Macaca mulatta: one gene and its partners. Each later gene encodes a partner of the first gene's protein in a complex. Links are inferred from orthologs where the notes say so. Each region holds a gene or a part of one and is shown in the gene's direction. Other genes may lie near its edges.

Region 1 (3,651 bases):
AATCTGTTATAAAATAGAGTAGAACTAAGTCACAGTACAGAAAGTTGGAAGATAGAATCAACAGATACTAAAGTTCTGACAGTATACCTCATCCATGCTCTTCCCTAAAATGCATGTGTTGGAAGAGCATAAAACCCTTTTTTCTGACAGTGATAGAGATTCTCTTGGATTCCTGCTAGTTAATGCCTCTTTTTCTACCTAGTAGATAAACCATCTGTCTTGTAATGGTGACAGTATAGTTTTATATTAGTGGCAGAGATTTAGCAGTCACTCTTGCTTCTAAGTGAAATTTGGGATATACCCTACATCTTTTCTTTCTTCTTTGAGACAGAGTCTCACTCTGTCGCCCAGGCTGGAGTGCAGTGGTATGAGCTTGACTCACTGCAACCTCTGCCTCCTGGGTTCAAGATTCTCCTGCCTCAGCCTCCCAGGTAGCTGGGATTACAGGTACACACCACCGTACCTGGCTAATACTTGTATTTTTAGTAGAGACAGGGTTTCACCATGTTGGCCAGGGTGGTCTCAAACTCCCGACCTCAGGTGATCCGCCCGTGTCGGCCTCCCAGAGTGCTCAAGTATGAGCTACTGGCAATAAGGTACTCCTTTTTCACGCATCCCTCAAACTTAGAGTTGTACCCGGCCTTATCAGCTACATCTGATCTGATTTGCGAACCATCTCCTAGGGTAGAGTCATGCTGTCATGGCTAATCTAGTTCATTATATGATTTTCAGTGACTTCAATTTTAGAGAATGACTTTATTTTCAGTTCTGAAGATCTGCCTTATTTAAAACATACAGCTTCTCCCTCCCTGCACATGTACTGACTGTACTTAGATATTGAATAACTTTTAGTAAATCTGGGTGTCTGATTGTTCAAGCTTCTTACTAGAATTTATACAATATATGATGAATTTTTTTATTCCCTTTTTAAAACTAGGTTCATGAAAGAAGTGTCCAGTCAGACTTCCTACTAATTATCTTGAAGGAAATTTTACAGAAACGTTCTGATCTACACTTGATTCTAATGAGTGCCACTGTGGACAGCGAAAAATTTTCTACGTATTTCACACACTGCCCTATTCTCAGAATTTCAGGAAGAAGTTATCCTGTTGAGGTAAGTTTTCTTTATAATGTGTGTATAAGCAGAAACTGCATTACCAACAGGTTCTTTCCCTAGGAGATGGGTGCTTGTAGTCTGAGGCCAGAACTATTCCTAGGTTCAGTGAGTCGACAGAGGAGCGGGACACAGCCTTAAGAATCAGATGGCTGTTACTGCCTTGCCTGAGGCTGGATAGGAGAGAAAGGAGGGTGTTGACTCAAGACAGCCCTAAGGGCTAAAGAACATAAAACTATTTTCACATGAAAATCATTATATTCAGATTAAGAGTTGCCGCCCTTCCCTGGTCATCTAATGGTCAGGGAGAAAAAAAAAAAAGAGTGGCTACCTGGCAATAAGGAACTCCTTTTTCACCCACCCCTCAAATTTAGGGTTGTCTTTGAAGCTTCCTTTTTACATATTCAATTCTTGATTCTTACCTTTTCAGTTCAGCTAATATAATCTACTCTTAACTGTTTCACATTATATGTATATATATAAATATATCTCATAATGTAATTTGTCTTGAGGCTTTAGAGACAATCCCTCTTTGTCAACCAAGTCTTCATTCCCAAATAATACTAAACATTTTTTTCATAATATTCTAAATTAGCGTTTGGTGACATTCAAAAGGTGGTGTCCCCTTTTTCTCTTTAAAATGATATTTACTGAAATGAATTTGAATTCACCCATTTATATACCTTATTCTATGCAGGTTTTTCATCTTGAAGATATAATAGAAGAAACAGGTTTTGTACTGGAGAAAGACTCAGAATATTGTCAGAAGTTTCTGGAAGAGGAAGAAGAAGTAACCATTAATGTTACAAGCAAAGCAGGGGGAATAAAAAAATATCAGGTAAAAAGAAAATATTTTGAAAGATATCAGATAATGATATCCAGGGCCTAACCTGCCACAAGAGTTTCAAAATCATATGGTTAACACAGTGAATTTGAGTATAATTTGATAGATGAGGAATAGATCTGAGAATGAACGAATTTTAAAGGTCGTTTCTTTAATCTTTATTTCATAGACTGTAATCTTTGATTTGTGATACTTTGATTGTCCTCTTAAACTATTCTGGGCCGTCTAGGTACACATACAAAATCAAGGACCATACAAGTTAGAAGCAACTTCTTACAACAATTTTGTAACAGTGATCAGTTATTGAGGAGTACATAGTAGTGATTTTTCTCTACTTCATCTCAACACCATAGGTGATCAGGATAGGGCAGGTCTCAAATCTAGATCCTTGCCATTGGTTTTCTTAGCCTCTGTCCTGGCAGGAGCAGGGCAGAGGCAAGATGGTGATAGGTAGATAGTGACAGATAGATAGATAGATAGATAGATAGATAGATAGATAGATAGATACATACATACATACATACGTACATACATACATACATACTGAAGCTGTGTAGGGCATAGTTCTTTCTGGGAAGTTCAAATATCAAAAAAACAATGTTATCCTGCATTTTAGCCAGTGGTACTAGATCCAGCATTTTTGTCATATCCATGATATTTCATGCATGTTTCCAATTTGATGAAAACACAGAGTTAAAGTTATCTTTATATTTTTATTAAGCAGATAGACCAAGAAAGCAAAAAGTAAAATCTTCCCCTAAAACACCAGAGGTAAAAATTACTAACTAAAGAAAGACTTTAGAAAAGTATAATTATTTCAAAAGAGATGACTGGAATTCAGGAGCCAAAGTACAATGTAGAAGGAATGAGCCAGGTACAAACTACTTATTAAAGTTATGACCTCTCTTGGCCTGGCTGCTTTTTAGTTGCCACAGAATGATGCATACATGATTACAATATGCTTTTCTACAATTATTTTAGTATGTATATGCCAAGATAAAAAGGTTTTGCTATACCTAAGGGCTGGATGACATTAAATTATAGGAGAGAGATGATACTTTCTGATATTCTCGCCACTACTAAGTATATTCTTTCTGTATCTTAACAAAATAGTAATGGTGACAATGAGAAAAATATAGATTTGATGAATGCAAATACCGCCTTTTTTCCTTCTTTGTCTTACAAAAATACTTAATATTTTTATTCAGCTCCCTCTGGTTGGATTTCTTTTAGGAATACATCCCAGTTCAGACTGGAGCAAATGCTGATTTAAATCCATTTTACCAGAAGTACAGCAGCCGCACTCAGCATGCTATTCTATACATGAATCCTCATAAAATCAACCTGGATCTCATTTTGGAACTTCTTGCCTACTTAGGTATATTTCTATTTCTAATGGGTCTCCATTTTATTTGATAAAACATTTCTACTATCTTGAGATGTTTTGTTAATATTTTATATGCTGTTCCTTTTATCTTCTTATTTTGAATATTGTATCTTTTTAAAATTTCAGATAAAAGTCCCCAGTTCAGAAATATTGAAGGAGCAGTATTGATCTTTTTACCAGGTCTTGCTCATATTCAGCAGTTGTATGATCTTCTATCAAATGATAGAAGATTTTATTCTGAACGGTAACTACACATCTTCATTATATTCCTGGTTGTTTTAAAATAGGAAAATATTTGGTACATTA
Region 2 (3,651 bases), on another chromosome or scaffold:
TGGTAGGTGGGTGCTGGGCTCACTGTAGTCTGAGTAATTCACTTCCACAAGTCAACCCCACTACTGAGCCTTTCAAAGTGAAGTCTCAGTATATTTACAAATTAATGGACATCCTCTCTGGGGGTTAGTCATATTCTAATTCAAAAAAGACATTGTTTGAAGTTTGTTTTTGTTTGCTAAATGAACTAAAAATTATATGAGAATTGCTCCTAAAGGTACTGAGGTAAAGGAGAGCTAAAAGTGGGGTAGTTAATCTACTTATTCAGAATGAGTTGATAATTAAAACATGTCTAATAGCAGAGACCGTATGTTATAGAAATGCATTACATTCTCTGAGATCTGCTTTTACTGAAGTGGATCAGTGATGAAACTAGCCAAATCTGAACTTCAGAAGGTTTTCTAGTCTACCTGATGCATGATCTCTACAGTTCTGAGAAGCAAAACTAGAAAACAATGTAAAACAATAAGGGCATATGTCTGGTGTGTGTGTGTGCACCCACATGTGTTTATAAAGGTAGCAGTTGTAGGAATGAATGAGATTGAGGGTGAGGGGGTGCGTATGTATGTCCATGAAAGCCTAATCATTTCTGGGCAATGATGTAAAGGTTTTACTACTGACCTTTGTAACTGTGAAGGTTTCTACACTTGACCTGAGCTCAGGAAAAAGAAGAAAGAAAGAAATGGCATTATAGAGTCTTGGTTCTAGCTCTGCCATTAACTAACTTGATATTTATCACTCCCTTATGTTTGTTTATATTTTTAATATATGTATTTATTCCCAACTGGTGCAACTTTATTCTCTTGACAGTTTTATGTGGACTTGAAGTTGCTGTTATCAAAAGTTGAACAATATTCCATACCCTTTTCCTTTCTCCCCGCTAGAGTATGCTCAGGTAATCAAAATGTTGGGAAATGGACGGCTAGAAGCAATGTGTTTTGATGGTGTAAAGAGGTTATGTCACATCAGAGGAAAATTGAGAAAAAAGGTAGGTGTGATTTGTTTTACTTTAATATAAAATTGGTTAAGGGGGAAAATCCCTCTAACAGTTTTTAACTGTCCATGGACTTCATTTTTGGAAATTCCCAAAAGACTTACCTAGGTAAACAGTGATTTACCTATAAGGCAAATAACAAGGTCTGTAATGGTAATTTTATACAGATTCTAATGTTAAAGAATCATTTGTATCACTTACGTTGTATTCCTGCCCAAAAAGTCCAAATTGAGAGACATTCTGCAGAAACAAAAGGCCTAGCTTTTTTTCTCCTTGTCTTTTTTTTTTTTTTGACACAGGGTCTTACTTTATCACCCAGCCTGTAGTGTAGTGGCATGATCTGGGCTCACTGTAGCTTCACCCTCCTTGGTTCAAGTGATCCTCCCACTTCAGCCTCCCATGTAGCAGGGACTACAGGCCTGTGCCACCATGCCTGGCGAATTTCTGTATTTTTTGTAGAGATGGGGTTTCTCCATGTTGCTTAGGCTGGTTTCGAACTCCTGAGCTCAAGCAGTCAGCCCGCCTTGGCCTCCCAAAATGCTGGGATTATAGGCATGAGCCACTGTACCTAGCCAGATGGCCCAGCTCTTAATGAAATGTTACTGTCATGAAAGTTTAAAAAAAAAAAGTTGGGGCACTATTCTAGTTTCAAGGAGACTTAAAGAGACCTGACAGTTAAATGTAGTAGGTGGCCCTTGTTTGGATTCTGGTTTAGGAATTGGACATATAGCTGTGAAATGTACATTAAGAAAATTTGAATATGAGTTATATTACATAAGCATTGTATTAATGTTGCATTTCCTGAATGTCATCGTGAATGGACTGCCTTGGAAAGTAATGATTAATTCACCATCACAGTAGTTATTCAGGCAGATTTATTAATCAGGTTGACTAAAAGTCCCAACTCTGATTTTGTATTTTTTTAAATTTGATATGGGGGTCTTTCTTTTTTTTTTTTTTTTTTTTTTTTTTTGAGACAGAGTCTCGCTCTGTCATCCAGACTGAAGTACAGTGGCGTAATCTTGGCTCAGTGCAACCTCCGCCTCCCAGGTTCAAGTGTTTCTCTGGCCTCAGCCTCCTGAGTAGCTGGGATTATAGGCATGCACCACCACGCCTGGCTAATTTTTGTATTTTTAGTAAAGACAAGGTTTTACCATTTTGGCCAGGCTGGTCTTGAACTCCTGACCTCAAGTGATCTGCCAGATTCAGCCTCCCAAGGTGCTGGGATTATAGGTGTGAGCCAGCCCAAACTAAAATCTTTTAATTTCTTTTTTTTTTTTTTTTCTTTTAAAGAAGTTTATTTTTTTGAAACGGAGTCTCACTGTGTTGCCCAGGCTGGAATGCAGTGGTGCAGTCTTGGCTCACTGCAACCTCCGTCTCCCGGGTTCAAGCGATTCTCCAGCCTCAGCCTCCCGAGTAGCTGGGATTACAGGTGCCTGCCACCACGCCCAGCTAATTTTTGTAGTTTTTAATAGAGATGGGTTTTTGCCATGTTGGCCAGGCTGGTCTCGAACTCCTGACCTCAGGTGATCCGCCCACCTTGGCCTCCCAGAATCCTGGGATTATAGGCGTGAGCCACCGCTCCCGGCCTAAAATCTTTTAATTTCTAAACTAATTGATTGTTACTCTGGAATTTCTTGATTCTTCGTTATTTGAAATATGACGGGCAGTGACTTTTCTTTTGTAGGTTTGGATAAATACCTCGGACATTATATTGGTCGGTCTCCGAGACTACCAGGTAAAAATTACATGTAAATTTTTCATATTTTACTGGCTTGAATTTGATGAGCCATTTCTTAAGAGCCAGTTTCATTTTAGGCATTGTGCTAGGTATCCCAGGGATTATGTTTAAATCAAAATCTGGGAGCCATTATTCTAGAGGATACAGCTGAATGAGTTAAGTGCCCATCCCACAAAAGGCTCATAGCCTGGTAGTGGAGAGAATTAAGCACACAAGTAATTATAATACACATCACTACATAGGTATGTGCTATAAATATAGAGGAGCACTTGGGAAAGAAAAAAAATGGTGATTGCCTTTCATGATCGTAACCCTTGACTCTGTAGACTCATTGTGGGTCTGTGAAATCCATTTGACATCCACCTATTGGAAATCATCCCTGTGTGATACTGTCTCTATTTGTATAGCCTTGAGCATGCTTTGATTTTTTTTTTTTAATCCAGAATAAATAATTTAAATCTTCACTTTAAACCATTGTTTCTCAACCGTGGGCAATTTTGCCCTCCAGGGGACATTGGCAGTGTCTGGAGACTTCTGGTTGTCACAACTGGGGGGTGGGTGCAGTGCTGCTAGCGTGTAGTAAATAGAGGCTGAGGTGGGCACAGGACAGCATCCCATAACAGAGAACAGTCCACCTCACAATAATCCGTAGCGCTGAGGTGAGAAAGCTTGCTTTAAATTCATACCATTTTAATGTCCCTTTTTTTCTTATGATCTAACAATAACCCCAGGAATAGGAAGAATAAGTAATTTCCTGTTCGATAGATAAGGACACCAAGGGTCCGAAATGAGTAACATTTTAACTGTAAAGTAACAGCCAGGACCAACTTCTGATTTGAAATTTTTCGTGATCCTTCCGTGCCCCTCCCACTTACGGCGTGGTCTTTGGCTCAATAGCATCTTCTGGAAGCTTGTTAG
Region 3 (4,377 bases), on another chromosome or scaffold:
AAAAAAGAAAGAAAGAAAAGGATTAGGAGGATACTATACTATGCATATCATGGCCAGTTACATGCCCAATAAGATAATTTAGAATAAATGAACAAATTCCTGATACATAGAAACTATTTACCTTGCAGAAAGAAAGGGAAAAAAAAAAGGATTAGGAAGATACTATTCTTTGTGTATTATAGCCAATTATACACCCAACAAGTTAGATAATTTAGAAAAAATGAACAAATTTCTGATACATACAAACTACCAGAACTGACTCGGGAATAAATATAATACGAATTCATAATCAAAACTAAGGCCTTGGACCATTTAAAGAATTAACGAATTTACATCAAATGTGTCCAAAAACACAGAAGAAAAAGGGACCCTACACAATTCACTCTGTGAAGCCAGGATTATACTGATCCTAAAGCCAAAGTCATCACAAGAAACAAGCCAATATATCTTAACACAGATACCAACATTCTAAACACAATAGTAGCACACACAACAAATCCAGTAAATCAAATGCTTGCATATCACAATCAAATGGAATTTTATCTTGAAATAATTTCACAACAGGCAGTCCATTTGAGACATTTGGTTACTGTAAGATTCAGATGCTTAGTCTCACCCCTTCCTATATATATTTACCTTCCATTTCCTATACATATTTACCGTCTACTGTTTGTCAGTATTCCGCTGGGTGGTAGCAATCTTAGGCGACAGGCCCGGCCTTGGTACTTACATGGTTTAGGGTGAGGTGCTGAGGTAAAGAAGACAGAGACTGAAAAAAAAAAAAGGCCAGGCGCGGTGGCTCACGCCTGCAATCCCAGAATTTGGCAGGCCAAGGCTGATGGATCACAAGGCCAAGGGTTTGAGACCACCCTGGCCAACATGGTGAAGCCCTGTATCTACCAAAAATACAAAAATTACCCGGGCAGTTCGCTCCACTGCACTCCAGCCTGGGCAACAAGAGCGAAACTCCGAAGGAGGGAGGGAAGGAAGGAAAGAAGGTAAATAGGGAGGGAGGGAGGAAGCGAGAGAGGGAGGAAGGAAGCATTCTGAACATAGAGGGTCTTGTCCTAAGTCAGTCCTCCAATATTACTGTGTAAGAGTAACGGCTCTCTTAAAATTTAGGTGTTTAAACGACCCACTAACTTGTGAAACTGGAAAACGTTTTTTTAGCAAAGCGGCGGACACCAGGTAACCGCCCCGTTCCATCCTTGACTCCACTTTCTCCACCTTGAGTTCCGCCCCGCTACCTGTTTATTCATCCGGCACCAAACTCTCCGGTATTCCAATGGGGTCTACTAGGTGTCAGTCATTTGGCCACGCCTCAGGCGAAGAGAGGCGCGGAAAAGTATCGCAATTAGGTGCGTCGCCTATTGCTGACGCCAGAAAGTGTGCGTCCGCAGTTTAGCAGAGAGTTCCGTGGCCAGTCTGTTGTGCGCACCCACCTGAGGCATCTTAGGTCAGCCTGCTCTTAGAGAAGTAGTAACCGCCAGAAAGGAGTCGGAAGAGGTCCCACGAGGCTGTCTTCACCGCTATGCCCAAAAATAAAGGTACTGCTGTAAGCGTCTGGGACTATACCTCGGCTTGCTCTGCCAGTAACCCCGACGTCTGTTCCAGGCCGCAGTAACTGTTCTTCCGGCGGAACTGGGCACCGCGCACCCTGCACTCTGTTGGGGAAAGGAGTTGGGAATGCCCGATTTGGTCACATTGGGTGGGAGAGACGCCATTTTTGTTGGGCCTGCTTCGGAAGGTAGCGGGCTTTTGCTACTGTTTCACGCCAGACGGAAGGCGTGTAGGTAGCGGAGGGTTGAGGGACCCTAACCGGACGGCCTGGCTTCCCAGAGTAGGCACCTGCAAACTGCCTTGCTACTTTCCTTTGAAGCAGTTCTTAACTTAGAAGATTTACGTATCTGGACAGTTAAAAGTATTGCTAAGGATACTCCTTTTTCCTTATTAAACAGTGGGGAAACCTTGAAACATGTTTAGGTTCGTCTCTGGCATTTTACTCTACCCCATCCCCTTATAGAGTGTAACATTCTTTTGCAGAAGAATTGTTACATATTTAGGCAAGTTTTTAACTTCCGTATCCGACAAATATCGTGGGAGTAAAGACATCAACCTTCCCTTCATTCAGCGTTTAAACTTTCACACCAAGGTTAGACTTGAAAATAAGTTTACTTACAGTTTCTAAAGTAGGAGGTCTAACCTCGGCAGAACTCTTGCTCAGTCGTTTCTGAAAGAAATTCTCCTTTATATAGACCTGAGGTAATCGCTCACATTTAATGCCCTTGTAATTACTTGAAGAAAACTATAGGTGGAAACAAAATGTATTATTTTCCACAGGAGAGGACCATATTTTTAGTACACAAAAACTCTGCTTAGATTATTCCTTCTTGGGACCCACACCAATTTGTCTTCTTTTTACTTGCTTGTTGGCACCAAGGAGTCTGTTTCATTTTCTCTTTATAGCTGTTACGACACACAATTCGAGGTACTTGGTGACAGTACAGGGCTCTGTTTTCTGGACATTACTCTTTGCTCTCCCCAAAACCCACTAATGAGTTGTTTGTATAAGATTTGTTTGTTTTACTGCAAAATTATTCGAGGATAAAAGTGTATTATGGGAGAAGTCTAATTAGAGTTAGCAAAGGCTTATGATTTTCACTAACATTTTCTCACATGGTACTGAACAACTTCAGTAAGTATGTTCTCACTTTTATTTCTCTTGATGAGATTCTCAGTTCTCTTAAGTTATCGATTCTAAAGATCACAGTATCTCCCTTTGCAAAATGTCCATTAAATCTTTGTTGATGTTGCTATCCCTGTACGTGACTCTAGCCTTAAAATAGTAAAGCTTCCTTTATTCTTGTAGGGTAGAACTTTTAAACTGAGTGATGCTTAAGAAGGTTCTCAGTAAAGAGTATCACCAAAACACATAGGGTTTGTTTAAGGAGAAGGTATGGATTTGTTGGTCATAGAAAGAAAGCAAGATAAAATATTAAACGATTTTAATTGTTATATGTTCATGCCTAGCCTCATTCTTTTAAAATATAATTTAAAGTGGAATCTGTTACATGGTATTACGGTAGAAGGAGAATAATCAGGATTTGGTTAATTCTGGTAAATTGAAAACAAATTTTTGTATCATATCTGAGGCACATAAAAGAAGTACAGTGGCCGGGCGAGATGGCTCATGCCTGTAATCCCAGCACTTTGAGAGGCCGAGGCGGGTGGATCACGAGGTCAGGAGCTCCAGACCATCCTGGCTAACAGTGAAACCCCGTCTCTACTAAAAATACAAAAAAATTAGCCTGGCGTGGTGGTGGCTACTAGTAGTCCCAGCTACTCCAGAGGCTGAGGCAGGAGAATGGTGTGAACCCGGGAGGCGGAGCTTGCAGTGAGCGGAGCGCCACTGCACTCCAGCCTGGCGACTGAGGAAGACTCCGTCTCAAAAAAAAAAAAAAAAAAAAAGTATAGTAATACAGTGAACTCCAGGAAATCCATACCTCTAGGAATTACAACACAGATTCGTTAAAGTCCTCTGTTACCTCTCCCAAATTTATTTTTAAGATTTACTTACCATCCTGAATTGAATGTTTTTATTATTGTGTAAAATCAGTGTTATCCTCTGGGATACTTAGTTGAAGGATATTTTTGAAGACCCCTACGTTTTATGAGATGAGACTTACTAATATAGAAGTAAAACTTGCTCATTTGGCTTTTTGTGTATTTTTGTTTTTGTTTTCATTTGAAAATCCAGATGTCTGTCAATATTGTCGTGGTGAGGTTTATCCAAATAAACATGTAAATGAGCATGGGCCATATGTGGAATTACTTTTTCTTTGCACTCATGCAGCTGGTTTTTTGCAGAAATCTCAGAAACCCATCCTCACATCAGGAAAAGGGCATCCTTTGGCCTACTTGTGAAGAGCTAGAGTAAGATGCTCCCACCTTTGAGATTGCTGTATGCAATTTAAAAGTTGCCATTCTTTTGCAAATGTGTAACTAATCATGATTTAGTCATTTGAAAAGCTGCCAAACTTTTATAAAACCCAGTAAGCAAAGCAGGTATGATCTTTGTCCTGACGCAGCTAAGTTCAGTCACGATTAATGGCTCGAAATATAGAATGTGTTTTCCTTTGTAGAAATTTAGTTTTGGCATACCCTAAGAAGGCATCAGAATCTGGATAAATCACGAAGTTGTGGAAGCCCAGATTTCTTTTATAGTAGCACAGAACAATGTGAGACTGCCCCAGAGGTAGTGGGTGGATTCAAGAAGTTAGATGTCTGGCTTTGCGGTAGCCAGGTATATATATTTTATTCTATTTGCAGTGTTAACGTTTTTATTCAAATTCTTCAATCGATCCTTTATATTACTGT

Evidence for each region.
Region 2: DHX29 (region 1) and EIF1AX share a complex: the UniProt entries of both Homo sapiens proteins name them as parts of the 43S pre-initiation complex. The link is inferred for Macaca mulatta from reciprocal best matches to the Homo sapiens genes DHX29 and EIF1AX.
Region 3: DHX29 (region 1) and EIF1AY share a complex: the UniProt entries of both Homo sapiens proteins name them as parts of the 43S pre-initiation complex. The link is inferred for Macaca mulatta from reciprocal best matches to the Homo sapiens genes DHX29 and EIF1AY.

Annotation. Positions count from the first base shown.
Region 1 is NC_133411.1:63,063,818-63,067,468, reverse strand, and holds part of DHX29 (ATP-dependent RNA helicase DHX29), read left to right. Parts: intron 1-937; coding exon 938-1,114; intron 1,115-1,811; coding exon 1,812-1,952; intron 1,953-3,191; coding exon 3,192-3,336; intron 3,337-3,471; coding exon 3,472-3,589; intron 3,590-3,651. UniProt on the Homo sapiens protein: ATP-binding RNA helicase involved in translation initiation. Part of the 43S pre-initiation complex that is required for efficient initiation on mRNAs of higher eukaryotes with structured 5'-UTRs by promoting efficient NTPase-dependent 48S complex formation.
Region 2 is NC_133426.1:19,866,451-19,870,101, reverse strand, and holds part of EIF1AX (eukaryotic translation initiation factor 1A, X-chromosomal), read left to right. Parts: intron 1-356; exon of another isoform or gene 357-436; intron 437-589; exon of another isoform or gene 590-659; intron 660-882; coding exon 883-986; intron 987-2,679; coding exon 2,680-2,730; intron 2,731-3,651. UniProt on the Homo sapiens protein: Component of the 43S pre-initiation complex (43S PIC), which binds to the mRNA cap-proximal region, scans mRNA 5'-untranslated region, and locates the initiation codon. This protein enhances formation of the cap-proximal complex.
Region 3 is NC_133427.1:8,120,873-8,125,249, forward strand, and holds the start of EIF1AY (eukaryotic translation initiation factor 1A, Y-chromosomal), read left to right. Parts: upstream 1-1,515; 5' UTR 1,516-1,531; coding exon 1,532-1,547; intron 1,548-4,377. UniProt on the Homo sapiens protein: Component of the 43S pre-initiation complex (43S PIC), which binds to the mRNA cap-proximal region, scans mRNA 5'-untranslated region, and locates the initiation codon. This protein enhances formation of the cap-proximal complex.